Linked DNA regions of Canis lupus familiaris. The protein of the gene in region 1 binds, or shares a complex with, the protein of each later gene. Links are inferred from orthologs where the notes say so. Each region holds a gene or a part of one and is shown on either strand. Other genes may lie near its edges. The genes, in order: ING3, VPS72 and ANP32E.

Region 1 (4,313 bases):
AATGACTATGGACCTAGATTCACCACTGAGAAACCACAGAAATATCCAAGAGATCTTAAAGGCAGCCGGAAGGAAGGAAGGAAGGAAGGAACGAAGAAGGGAGTGTAGGAGGGAGGAAACCCGAAAATCCTAGATTTTAGATAAAAGTACAGAAAGTAAACTAGGTAATCATTAGAATTGAGGTGGGTTTCCCTTGACATTCACCAACACGACAGGTGAGCATCCTGACCATGAGCGGTGGAAAAAGTCTTGGGTAGAAGAGGGCGGAAGGGAGAAAACTCAAAAATGCATCAAATGTCTCGACTCCAATTTGAAAAAAAAAAAAAAAAAAAGAAAAAAAAAGTGAAAATAGAACACTGAATGGCGAACTGAAGACACATTTCCCAGGAAAACGAACAGAGAGCTAAGGCAGGTGGGAGAGAAAGATGCTCTCGACCTGTGCTGCGTGCAGATGTTCTTAAGAAAAAGAAAACTGAGCCGTGAAGGACCGAATCCATCACGGGGCGGGGAAGGGGTCCCGGGGTAGAAGATGACCCCTCCCGCGGGTGTAGACAGCTGGGGGCGGGCTGCTTACTCAACACCGCCTGAAGTCATTCTTAGAACAGCTCATTCGACAGCAGCAAGTCTCCATCCGTTATTTCTGCTTGTTCTCTAGTTCTGCTTTTTTTTTTTTTTTTTTTTTTTTTTTTGGTGGGTGCACTTCGTGCGTTCAGCTCGATGACATCACGGTGACGACGAGCCGGACCGCGGAATAAAAGCAGGTAAAGAGCGCGTGGAGGGCGGCCACCCGTCCAGGTGCAGGAAAGCCAAGCAGGCGCCTCGTGGGTATTTTGAGCAGTCGGAGACTAAGGATGCGTTCCAGCCAGGAGTTCTGTCTTACACAATGCGGATCGCCCGAACTCCGCTGGCCGTTCCGGCGCTGGAACACCTTCCACCTGCCCCGCCCGCCTGGAAACCCGCGACTCCCAGCCGCCGGGGCCACCGAGGCACGCCGGCCGGGAACAGGTGGAAAGTTGCTCCTACTTGGGTTCCGCGGGCGCCTACAACTCCCGTCATGCCCCGCGCCGGCATCAACAAATAAACAGAGGCACCGCATTTCGGATTCCGCGGCGCACGGGGCGCAAGGCCGCCTGGTCTTCGTAGTTGCCACGCCGGTAACCGCCGGGCGCGCCGATCCTCGCCGTGGGGGGGAACCGGACTACACTTCCCACAAAGCCGCGCGGGCGGACTCCGGCCGGCTGACGTCATCGCCCCAGCCGGCCAATGACGGCTCCGGGCGGCAGTGAGGCAAGCGCCGTCAGGCGCCAAAGTGGTTTTTTTTTTTCTTTCTTTTTTTTTTTTTTTTTTTTTTTCCGCCGAAGCCGAGCGGGTGCTGCTAGCGGAGGCGCCATATTGGAAGGGACAAAACTCCGGCGACAGCGAGTGACACAAATAAACCCCTGGACCCCCTCGTTGCCCCAGCTCTAAGGGCCGCGATGTTGTACCTAGAGGACTATCTGGAAAGTGAGTGGGCGGCGCTGGCGGGGGCCGCCTGGGGGACCCGCGGGCGGGCGGGCGCGCGAGCGGCCGGGCGGGCGGGATGGCGGGAGGGAGGGGGAGGCGGGGGATGTTTCTTTCTCACGGTAACTGGCAGCCGGGCTGTGGGCTGCCGGCTCCTTCGCCCCCCCCACGCACGCACGCACGCACGCAGTGACGTCAGCGCGCCCTTCGCCGTTGGCCCCGCCCCGCTGACGGCCTCTCCCTTTGACAGTGATTGAGCAGCTGCCCATGGACCTGCGGGACCGCTTCACGGAGATGCGCGAGATGGACCTGCAGGTGCAGAGTAAGTCGGCGGTTCGCCCGCCCGGCCGCGCGCGGTCGGGGCCAGACCTTCCACCGACGTCGTCGCCTCTGCTCTCTGACTCTCCTCCGGCTCACGGGCTAGTGCATAAGGAGTCGTTTAAAAAAAAAAAAAAAAAAAAAACAAACGCCAAAAAAACCCCCCCAAAACCATAAAACCACACACACACATACACAAGGCAGTGCCGCATCTTGCCTCTTGCTGTCCACGCCGCTTCCCCCTTTGCTTTTACCCGAGGAGGAGGCGCTGGGGCCCGCGTGTGTGTTTCTTTCCCGAATTCAAGACTGGGATAAAAGTTTCTGTGCCTCGGGGAGGACGTAGACACATGCTTTTAACGCACGTCGGTGTAGGTGTGGAGAAGATGGTGGTTTCTGGCCCGAGCCCTTGCGTCCGGAACGTAGATTTCGGCATTTAGACTTCTGCTGAAGTTGGTTCTGCTCAGAATTTTCTGCAGAGCGGAAAACCCAGCAGCCTGGGGGTTGGTGTGGCTCTTTAGTGACCCCGCTGAACTTGGAATGTCGAGTCTTGCAAAGCCGCACCTTGCAGGATGCATTCCCACCCGCCAGCAGGATGATGCTATTCCCCCCCCACCCCCCCCATGAAAACGAGTGAGGAAAATAGACCTTCCTGTAAAGCTGCTTATCTGTTGCAATAAAAGTGATGACTTCTCATCGATCAGTGGTAGCTTGGTAGTCTGGTTCCTTCCCCCTACCCACCCACCCCCCCAAAAAAAATTAACCGTTGTTCTTTCATAGAGCAGTATTTGGTTTATCCGATTGTTTTGTTTTGTTTTGTTTTTGTGAAGGATTTGACTCAAAGCAAGGAAAGAGTCAGTGCCTTGGAAACGAGGAGGTCAACACTTGGAGCAAAATCACAGTTAAAACGAGTACGAATTTACGCCTGTCGTGCTCTGAAAGAACCTCACAGGCCTTCTCCCCCTTTTATGAAATGAATGTAATACAGCCGTTCCGGTTCTCTTGCAGGGATACCATACTGTGAACTACGAGTGCGGAATGAATTACACGTTACACGATTATTTTATTTTATTTTTTTTTTACGTTACATGATTAAAATGTACAATGGGGTGTGCGCTTAAGCCCGGATGTCACCCTCTCTGTAGATGTAGGCTTGGCTGCCAGCAGCGCATCTCGTCTAAATTGATCTAATGTTTTTCTAATACTGTGGATGACATGAGATAATGCAAATAGCCCGTTGACCTAGGTCCTGAAGACCGTCCAACAGATGGTCTTGGAGGCTGTTGGAGCCTGAAGATGGCTCCAACAGAGCAGGGGCTGCCATGGTTACTGACCTGCACTGAGTAGTTTTTATCCAGAAATCAATTAAAGTTGCATTTGTTACTTTAAACAAAACAAAACAAAACAAAAAAACTTGTGCAGTTGATATTAATGGCTGGCCTTCATGCGGTCTGTCCTCAAGAAAATACGTGCCTTGATCCCATTTATTCTAGCTGTGGTTAGGCTATCTACGTAAAATGTTTCTCATGCCACTAGGTTTTTTTTTTTTTGTCCTCGAAAAGTAGCGGTGGAGGAGGATCTGGGTTTGGGGGTATGACTGGGGGGAAAAGGGTATCATGGAAAGAAATCAGAGACCCAGCATCCCTGAGGATCCTGCAGCTCCTGAGGGCCTGTCCTTTCCCCCGTGCTTCCCCACCCCACACTCGCACCCCACGCTTTCATACCCACGGGTGATGAATATAGGTTCCTGAGCCTCTGGTGCGTTCCATGTGGCCATGCGGCATACAAGGTGATGGGCTACGGAAGCCTTCTTTATGTTCAGTGGGTCATAGTGTAGGAGTCTGAACTGTGTGTTTCTTTAGCTTGCCCACAAAATTCATTTTGACTGTCATGTAGTTGAAATGCTAAAGTAGCGTTTTCTATGGGACTGAGCACAGATCTTGATGTCAGATAGATCCGAGTTCGTATTAGAGTTTTGCTGACTTACTCTTTGACCTTGACCGCATTACCACTTCTGAGGGGTTTTCCTTGTCTATAGAATGGAGATCATCTGAGGATTTAAAATAACACAGTTAAACTAGAATTTATAGTATCTGATACAAAGCAGAAGTTCACGAAAAGGTGACTTATTTTTGCTTCGTTATCATTACAAATTTTAAATTCTCTTGTGATTTGTAATTGGATTATACAAATGAGAGGTTTTATTTTTTTATGTTTTTTAAAGATTTTCTTTAAAATCTTTGAGAGAGAGCACACGTGGGTGCAGGCACACGAGCAGGGGAGGGGCAGAGGGAGAGAGAGAAGCAGCCTCCCCCGCTGAGCAGGGAGCCGACTGGGGTTGGGGGCACCCAGTCCCAGGACCCTGAGGTCATGACCTGAGCCAAAGGCAGGTGCTTAACCAGCTGAGCCACTCAGGCGCCCCAGATGAGAGGTTTTATACACTTGCATTTTATAACAACTAGAATTTTCTAAAGTTAATAGATCCTATAGATTGATAA
Region 2 (4,313 bases), on another chromosome or scaffold:
CGACACAGGGTCTTAACAATTCCACAGACTATTTGAGATTGGAACTATTCTGGAGAATTGAGGAGGCATGATCTCCATGATTATGGAAACTGCTAGGAAGCGAGGTGGGCGAGTGGGAAGACATCACTGTCCAATATAACCAGGATTCTGCCAGGTATATAAGATAGGAAAAGAATCCTAAGGAGAAGGAAAAGCACACAGGCACGACAGAGGATTGGGAAGTGATGCTAGAATGGGATGATGAGGCAAGAGGTGAAACTAGAAAGGCAGGGAGAGGCCAAATTATGCAGGATCTTTAATGTCAATGTTAATAGTAATTATCACCTACTAACCATCTATGTGCTTACTAAATCCTGCTGAAGAAGTTTAAAAGGATTAGATCTCCTAATCTTTTAATCTTTTCAACAACTGTAAAAGGTAGATGTTATTACTCCCACCTCTTTTTTTTTTTTTTTTTAAGTAGACTCCATGTCCAAGGAACTCACGACCCTGGTATCAAGAGTCACATGCTATACCCACTGAGCAGCCGGGCACCCCTCGTCCCACTCTACAGGTGAGAAAACTGAGATTCCACCAACTGTCCAAAGTCACACAGCTAGAAGACCCTAAACTCAAAACTCAGGTCTGGTTGGTTATAAATCTAATATTAACCACACTACTGTTCTGTCCCCAAGAATCCTGTACTTTAACCTGTAGATGCCAGGGAGCCATTAAACATCTTTTTTTTTAATTTTTATTTATTAATGATAGAGAGAGAGAGAGAGAGGCAGAGACACAGGCAGAGGGAGAAGCAGGCTCCATGCAACGGGAGCCCGATGTGGGATTCGATCCCAGGTCTCCAAGATCGCACCCTGGGCCAAAGGCAGGCGCTAACCTGCTGCGCCACCCAGGGATCCCCATTAAAGATCTTTGAGCAGAAGACTGACAAAGTCTGTTTTTTAAGAAAGGTTCATCACTAAAAGCAGAGTGGAAAACGGACTGGAGCAGAGGGAGACTGACCTCTTCTAAGTGAACATTTGTTGACTCTCAAATTCTGGACTTAGGGTAGTGGGGCTGCTGGCGTCACCCGGTAATCATTCTGCAGTCCAGATCAGCGCGAGCTAGGGGAGGGAGCTTGGGGGTCGTCTCCACGCCGCTCCCCCCCCCCCCCCGTGGGCGGGGCTGCAGGGTAAAGAAGCGGTTTAGCGCCGCCTGCAGCCCAGGGCGTGATCCTGGAGACCCTGAATCGAGTCCCACATCGGGCTCTCTCTGTATGATGCCTGCTTCTCCTCTGCCTGTGTCTCTGCCTCTCTCTCTCTCGGTCTCTATGAATAAATAAATAAAATCTTAAAAAACAAAAGAAGAAGAAGAAGGCTTGACAGACGGGCCTAGAAGCGTCTCGACGCTCTCCTACTTCTGCCTGTGGACGAAGGGCTTCCGCCGCCGCCCGCCGCCGCAGGTAGTTGTGTCGAGCGCCGATACCGCGCTGGGTGAGGGGCCGCTGGTGGCGGCGCAGTCTCGGTAGGCAGTATGAGTTTGGCCGGTGGCCGGGCCCCCCGGAAGACCGCGGGGAACCGGCTTTCTGGGCTCCTGGAAGCCGAGGAGGAAGATGAGTTCTACCAGACGACTTACGGGGGTTTCACAGAGGCAAGAGTCGGGCCCAGGAAGAGGGAGGGGAGGAAGCTACTAGGAGTCCTGAACGGAGAAACGTCGGACAAAGAAGGGGGCGGGGAATGGATAGAATCAGCCCTGGGAGTGATATTCGAGAGCGGGTGGGAGAGTCCTGGATGGGGTTGGAGGGCTCAGGGATGAGGGGCTCTCCGAGGCACCCCAGACCATGGAAGAAACCAAGCGTATACTTCTCGGGTTGCGTGTTTCACTTCTGACGTCTAACGTACTCGAGCTCCTCGTAGTCACGCAGTATGGACTCTGGCCTACTGCTTGGTTATCCACCTGAAGGTAGAAAAGGATCTCTTCACAAAATACAGGAGCTCAGCCTACTTTTTTCACCTTTCAAATCTCAACGTCAATGTCTCCTTAGTTAATCCTTCCCTAACTGCTCTAAAAAGTGGTCCATTTATTTCCTTCATATAATATATTTCGAATTGCAATTAGATTTGGTTTGCCTACTTGTTTATACTTTTCTATTAGATTGTAAGCTCTGTCAGGTTAGAGATGGTCTGTTTTGTCCAGCAGTATACGTCCAGTGCCTGGTCCATTCTCTGGATTGGACCGGCACTGGTGCTGATTGAATCTGTCCATTCTTAAAATATCTGTTGAAGGGATCCCTGGGTGGCGCAGCGGTTTGGCGCCTGCCTTTGGCCCAGGGCGCGATCCTGGAGACCCGGGATCGAATCCCACATCGGGCTCCCGGTGCATGGAGCCTGCTTCTCCCTCTGCCTGTGTCTCTGCCCCTCTCTCTCTGTGACTATCATAAATAAATAAAAAATTTAAAAAAATATCTGTTGAAGAGCTAGGGCAAGCCAACCACTGTGGTAAGTTCTAGGGAAGCGTAAAGTATTGAAAACACCACTTTGTTACTCGTATTCCAGACCCCAGTGGGGGGAACCAGCTGGATTAACAGCTGAAATACTTTGTGATAAGGAGGGGAAAAAAATGGTAAGCTAGGGTGCTGTGGTAATATACGGGAGCCAGAGTTATTGGTTAGGATTGGCCTCCCTGGAGGACATGATGTTTAAGCTTACTACAGTATGAAAAGTAGGCCTTGACTCAGTGAACAGCAGTAGGGCTGGGAGCAGGATAAGGAGAAACGGTGTGTGTGTGGAGGGGTGGGGGGGATGCAGAATGTGTAAAGGTACTGAGTCTGTGTGGTACATGCAGGCCTACTCTCCTTTCTCCAAACCTTGAAGGAGAATAAAATTGATAAGGTTGGAGGGAGTGGACATAGGCCAAATCATGTTGGGCCTTATGAACCATGTTGAGGGGTTTTGCTCTTTTTCTAGACGACTGAGAAGATTCATCAAAGTACCATGATCAGATTTGTATTTTAGAAAGCTCACTCTGTAATGAGGAGAATGGTTTGAAGGAGGCAGTGGGAGTAGAGAAACATGGGCAATAGTTTCAAGACAAATTAAGGACATTGAATCCATAGGACTTGAATCCACAGGACTTGATTGGGAGTCATTACTTACACAGTAGACCAACTATAGTTTAAAATAGAATGTTCTCATCCCTCCCCCAAAGGCCATTTTCCTATTCCTGTCATTTTACGAGTCGTTATTTAATATGTACCCTTCATGCTTCCAAAAAGGATTAAAGGAGGCTTACAATATAAACAAAAAGTAGGAACTGTAAAAATAGAGACAGATCAGAAGTAATTGTACCAGGAACCTCTGCTAAAATAGTAATAGCAATTTATATTAAATTTAGCGGGGCGCCTGGGTGGTTCAGTGGTTAAGCATCTGCCTTTGGCTCAGGGCGTGATCCCAAAGTCCCGGGATCGAGTCCCACATCAGGATCCTTGTATGGAGCCTGTTTCTCCCTCTGCCTGTGTCTCTGCCTCTCTCTCTCTCTCTCTCTCTCTCTCTCTCTCTCTGTCTCTCATGAATAAATAAATAAAATATTTTAATAAATAAATAAATAATAAATTTAGCTGTGAGCTTCCTGGCAGCCAAGCCCTGAATTTCTTTTTTCAGTAAGAAAGAGGCATATACATTCTTTAAGAGAGAAAAATTTATTCAGCATTAAGTCCTAGGAAGAAGTGCACTTCTACATAAAATTATAAAGTAATGGGTTCACTAGATGATGTAGAAACATTCACTTACCTAGTCATGCCTATTAATGACCCTTGATAAAAGCCAAAGGTATGGTAGTAAATCCCTAACTTAGTGAAAGCATCTTGATTGGACGGACACTAAGCTAATGTGCAGTTCAATGACTACTCTCTGGTGCGATGACTTAATACCTGGTTAGAGCTGAGGGGATTAATGTGTTCCCAGGCAGTCTTTCACAAGCATCAGTTGGGAGGAAATGATGGCCATCGGTGCAAGTTTGAACTCTGGCTAGCTTGGCATGTCAGCTGTCTGTGCTGTTTGCTTGCTTTGGCAGCATGTGTACCAGGATTAGCCTGTTGGTCTACATCCCTGACTGAAGAGAGAGCCACATGTTTGAGGTGCCACCCTGCCCAGTTTTTGACTCCCTCGCCCTTAAGTGTGTTTTTCCCTTTACTTTCCTATGTGGCTGCCATTCTAGTCCTAACCTGTAACCCCTCAATTCTAGGGTGTACTCCACGTTCTCTACTCCACTCAGCTAACAACTTCCAGAGCTTTCTGAAACAGCCCTGGTATATAGTTTTCCTTCCTCCCTAAATCTTC
Region 3 (3,620 bases), on another chromosome or scaffold:
TCATCTTCTTCCTCTTCATCATCTTCATCTCCATCTTTAAAAATATTTTAAAAGATGAGTGAGTGGCTGAGCAAATGTTTCTTGCTAGTACTTTAAGCCTATCTGCCCTTGCCCCAATCACTTCAAACTCTAAAGCCAATGGGAAGGTGGAAACTATCTCAGGGATATTTTCTTTTTTTAAGATTTTCCTTTTACAGGGGGTGCCTGGGTGGCTCAGATGGTTAAGTGTCCAACTCTTGATTTCAGTTCAGGTCATGGTCTCAGGCTCTGCCCTCAAGTAAGGAGGTTTGCTTGACTCTCTCCCTTTGCCCCTCTCCCCACTTGTTCACCTGTGTGCGCTCGCTCGCTCTCTAAATAAATAAATAAATCTTAAAAAAAAAAAAAAAAGATTTCCCTTTCACAACATCCATATTTACTATTTGAGAACTATGGTTTCTAAATACTGAAATATTTCCAACGTACAGATTTTCATTAAAATATTACATGCACTAAAGTTTGTTTTACCTTATGGACATCTCAAAACCCACTTCTCTATCATTCTATCATTTTCTAATATTGTTTGTCCATCAGATTTCTTTTTATAGTAAAAATGATTTTCAACCAAGAGTAATCAGTGTCCCATTACTAACAACAGCCATTCCATCATCTGATCTGTTAGTCACCCACTTATCCAATCATATATATTCACTACCTAATTCTAGAACGTTTCCATCACCTCCCCTCTCCCTCTCAAAAAAAACCCAGTCATTAACAGTCACTCCCCATTCTCCTCTCACCCAGCCCTGGCAACCATTATCCTACTTTCTGTTTCTATGGATTTGCCTATTCTGGACATTTCATACAAATGGAGTCATACAAAATGTGGCCTTTTGTGTCTGGCTTCTTTTACTTCATAGAATGATTTCAATGCAAGAGCATGTATCAGTGCTTCATTCATTCTTATGACTGAATCAATAATGTTTCACTGTATGGATATATCACATTTTGTTTCTCCATCAGTCGATAGGCCATTTGGGTTGTTTCTATTTCTTGACTATTATGGATAACACTACAAGAAATGATTCCTTTAAAAAAAAAAAAGTACTATTTTAAAAGTTGCCACTTTTACTAGGTGGTCATTAAACAAGTTCATACAGATACAAAATTTCAGAGCTTGAGGGCGCCCAGGTGGCTCAGTCAGTTGGGCATCTGCCTTCAGCTCTGATCATGATCCTGGGGTCCTGGGATTGAGCCCCACATGGGATTCCCTGCTCAATGGGGAGCCTGCTTCTCCCTCTCCCTCTGCCACTTCCTCTGCTTGTGCTCTCTCTTGTTCTCTCTCTCAAATAAAATCCTTAAAAAAAAAAATTTCACATAGCTTGATAGCATAATAATCATTAAATTCCCCAAAGCTATCAGCAATCTAAAATAAGAAATACAGGATTAGGGCTGTGGGTTTTGTAATTTTTCTTGTTTTACATCTTTTTTTTTTTTTTTTTTTTTTTTTTTTTATCACCTAAATATCCAGGCCCAATCTAACTTGCCTGGCTAGGCTGGAGCCTGTATTTATAAGCATTAAGAATGATTACCCTCATCATCCTCCTCTTCTGAATCTGGTGCTTCGTTATCCTCCTGATCAAATCCATCTAAGTATGTGATTTGCTGCAGCAGTTCGAAGATACTTTCTCTGTAATCTTCCAGGTTTGTGATCTCACAGTTAAACAAGTCAAGACTTTTCAAATTTTTAAGATTTTGCTGGAAAAGTAAAAAGTTAAAGCTTACATTTCAAGATTTTAAATATTATGTTATTTCTTTTTATTTCATGGACCTGAAAACATATATTAAAAGAATGATTTTTGGATTTTTCAAATTTTATAAAGAAGGGTTATCGTATCAATTCTCTTTATGAGGACCTGCATGTAAACTCCACAAGAATAGGAAGTTTATTTTGTTCACCACTGTATTTCCAACACCTGGCTTAGAGTCTTCCTGTAGTAGCCACTCAATATATTTTGTTGACCATATATGTGCATAAATAGGCAACAATAATAATGTGGTTAGCTTTAAACCCAGTCAAGCTTATTGTCAACAATTTCAACCTCCTGCCAAGCTTTTTTAAAATCAGAACAACAATTTTCTGAGTTTCACTTCATCTCATTCCAGGAAACAAAGAAGCAAATAATAAAATTAAATTAAATTAAATTAAATTAAATCAAGAAAGAAGGAAAAAGAATAGAATTTAAGAAAATACTGGGAAGTTTAAAACCAGATATTCAACTCATGAGGTTATTAATAAAATAAATTTCTCAGAGATTTAAAAATTTATCTGAATGGTTTACTCTAAAAGAAGAGAAGGCAGATCCTTTTAAAAACGTATAAGAAATTCAGAAGTTTCAAAGAGTGAAATATAAATCAGTGAAGATAAAAACACTAGCAAATCTCAGAAAATCAACCAAAAAAGAGCAAGTCCAGAGACTTTCCACTCACCAGAGCTTCTACTGTACTGAGATCTTTGATTTTATTTCCACTCAGATTGAGGTAAGTAAGATTTGGACATTTCTCTGCCAGGACTTCCAAACCACCAGAAATTATATTGTCACTAAGTTCCAACTATATATTCAACATGGAGAAAAAACAAACAATGGTGAAGGCTTAGGGCAGATCGGATTATTTTTTAAGTTTTTTATTTATTTAAGTAATCTCTACACTCTATATGGAGCTCAAACCCAATGCCAAGATCAAGAGTCACACATTCTTCCAACTGAGCCAGCCAGGCGCCCCCAGTTTTTTAAAATATATCAATTTGAAGAAGAAATGTTACAAATTATTAGTTTCCAAATTCCTACCTATAATCACCAAATAATGTATTGGAACCCCTATATAATAAGCTTCTACCCCAAATTTGGTTCCAGTTGGGTTATAGGTAGATTTTATGTTTCAGAGAAAAACATTTAGTAGATATTAAATCCAAATTCATGGGGCACCTGGGTGGCTCAGGGGTTGAGCATCTGCCTTCAGCTCAGGTTGTGATCCCGGGGTCCTGGGATCCAGTCCCAAATCAGGCTCCTCACGGGGAGCCTGCTTCTCCCTCTGCCTGTGTCTCTGCCTCTCTCTGTCTCTCATGAATAAACAAATAATTTTAAAAAATAAATAAATCCACATTCATGTCATAAAGCAATTTCACTATTATGTTTAAATTTCTAAAAGCAGTATTAGAGCTGATTCTAAAATCCTGCATAACCCATTCTCTTATCTCTAGAAATTCAGAAACTTCTAATTAGAAGGCAGATCGGTTGTTTCATTTGGCCAAAACCTAGACATGTTAGCCCTCGGCATCAAAATTATGATGATTTCACACTTAATACCAACTTACCTTTCGAAGTTTATTTAAGCTGGGCAGTCGGGCCAGTGAACTTAGTTCCACATTAGCCATACTCAGAAACTCTAGTTTTTTAAAAGTATCATTCAGGCCTTCAATTTCCCCATTGACACACAGGCAATTATCAAGGACTAACTCTGTCACCTGTAAGATAGAAAATGAATGATTATGTTGCAGTCTGTTTAGCAAAAGACGGGTCAAGACAACTGGCAATGTGAATATTAAAACCACTAATTCCCTTACACAGATCCCTTCCATTCAC

What was found.
Region 2: ING3 (region 1) and VPS72 share a complex: the UniProt entries of both Homo sapiens proteins name them as parts of the nuA4 histone acetyltransferase complex. The link is inferred for Canis lupus familiaris from reciprocal best matches to the Homo sapiens genes ING3 and VPS72.
Region 3: ING3 (region 1) and ANP32E share a complex: the UniProt entries of both Homo sapiens proteins name them as parts of the SWR1-like complex. The link is inferred for Canis lupus familiaris from reciprocal best matches to the Homo sapiens genes ING3 and ANP32E.

What each region holds. Positions count from the first base shown.
Region 1 is NC_049235.1:59,197,607-59,201,919, forward strand, and holds the start of ING3 (inhibitor of growth protein 3), read left to right. Parts: upstream 1-1,413; 5' UTR 1,414-1,475; coding exon 1,476-1,503; intron 1,504-1,750; coding exon 1,751-1,822; intron 1,823-4,313. UniProt on the Homo sapiens protein: Component of the NuA4 histone acetyltransferase (HAT) complex which is involved in transcriptional activation of select genes principally by acetylation of nucleosomal histones H4 and H2A.
Region 2 is NC_049238.1:60,907,369-60,911,681, reverse strand, and holds the start of VPS72 (vacuolar protein sorting-associated protein 72 homolog), read left to right. Parts: upstream 1-1,436; 5' UTR 1,437-1,509; coding exon 1,510-1,626; intron 1,627-4,313. UniProt on the Homo sapiens protein: Deposition-and-exchange histone chaperone specific for H2AZ1, specifically chaperones H2AZ1 and deposits it into nucleosomes.
Region 3 is NC_049238.1:60,128,112-60,131,731, forward strand, and holds part of ANP32E (acidic leucine-rich nuclear phosphoprotein 32 family member E), read right to left. Parts: intron 3,503-3,620; coding exon 3,353-3,502; intron 2,590-3,352; coding exon 2,467-2,589; intron 1,735-2,466; coding exon 1,569-1,734; intron 35-1,568; coding exon 1-34. UniProt on the Homo sapiens protein: Histone chaperone that specifically mediates the genome-wide removal of histone H2A.Z/H2AZ1 from the nucleosome: removes H2A.Z/H2AZ1 from its normal sites of deposition, especially from enhancer and insulator regions.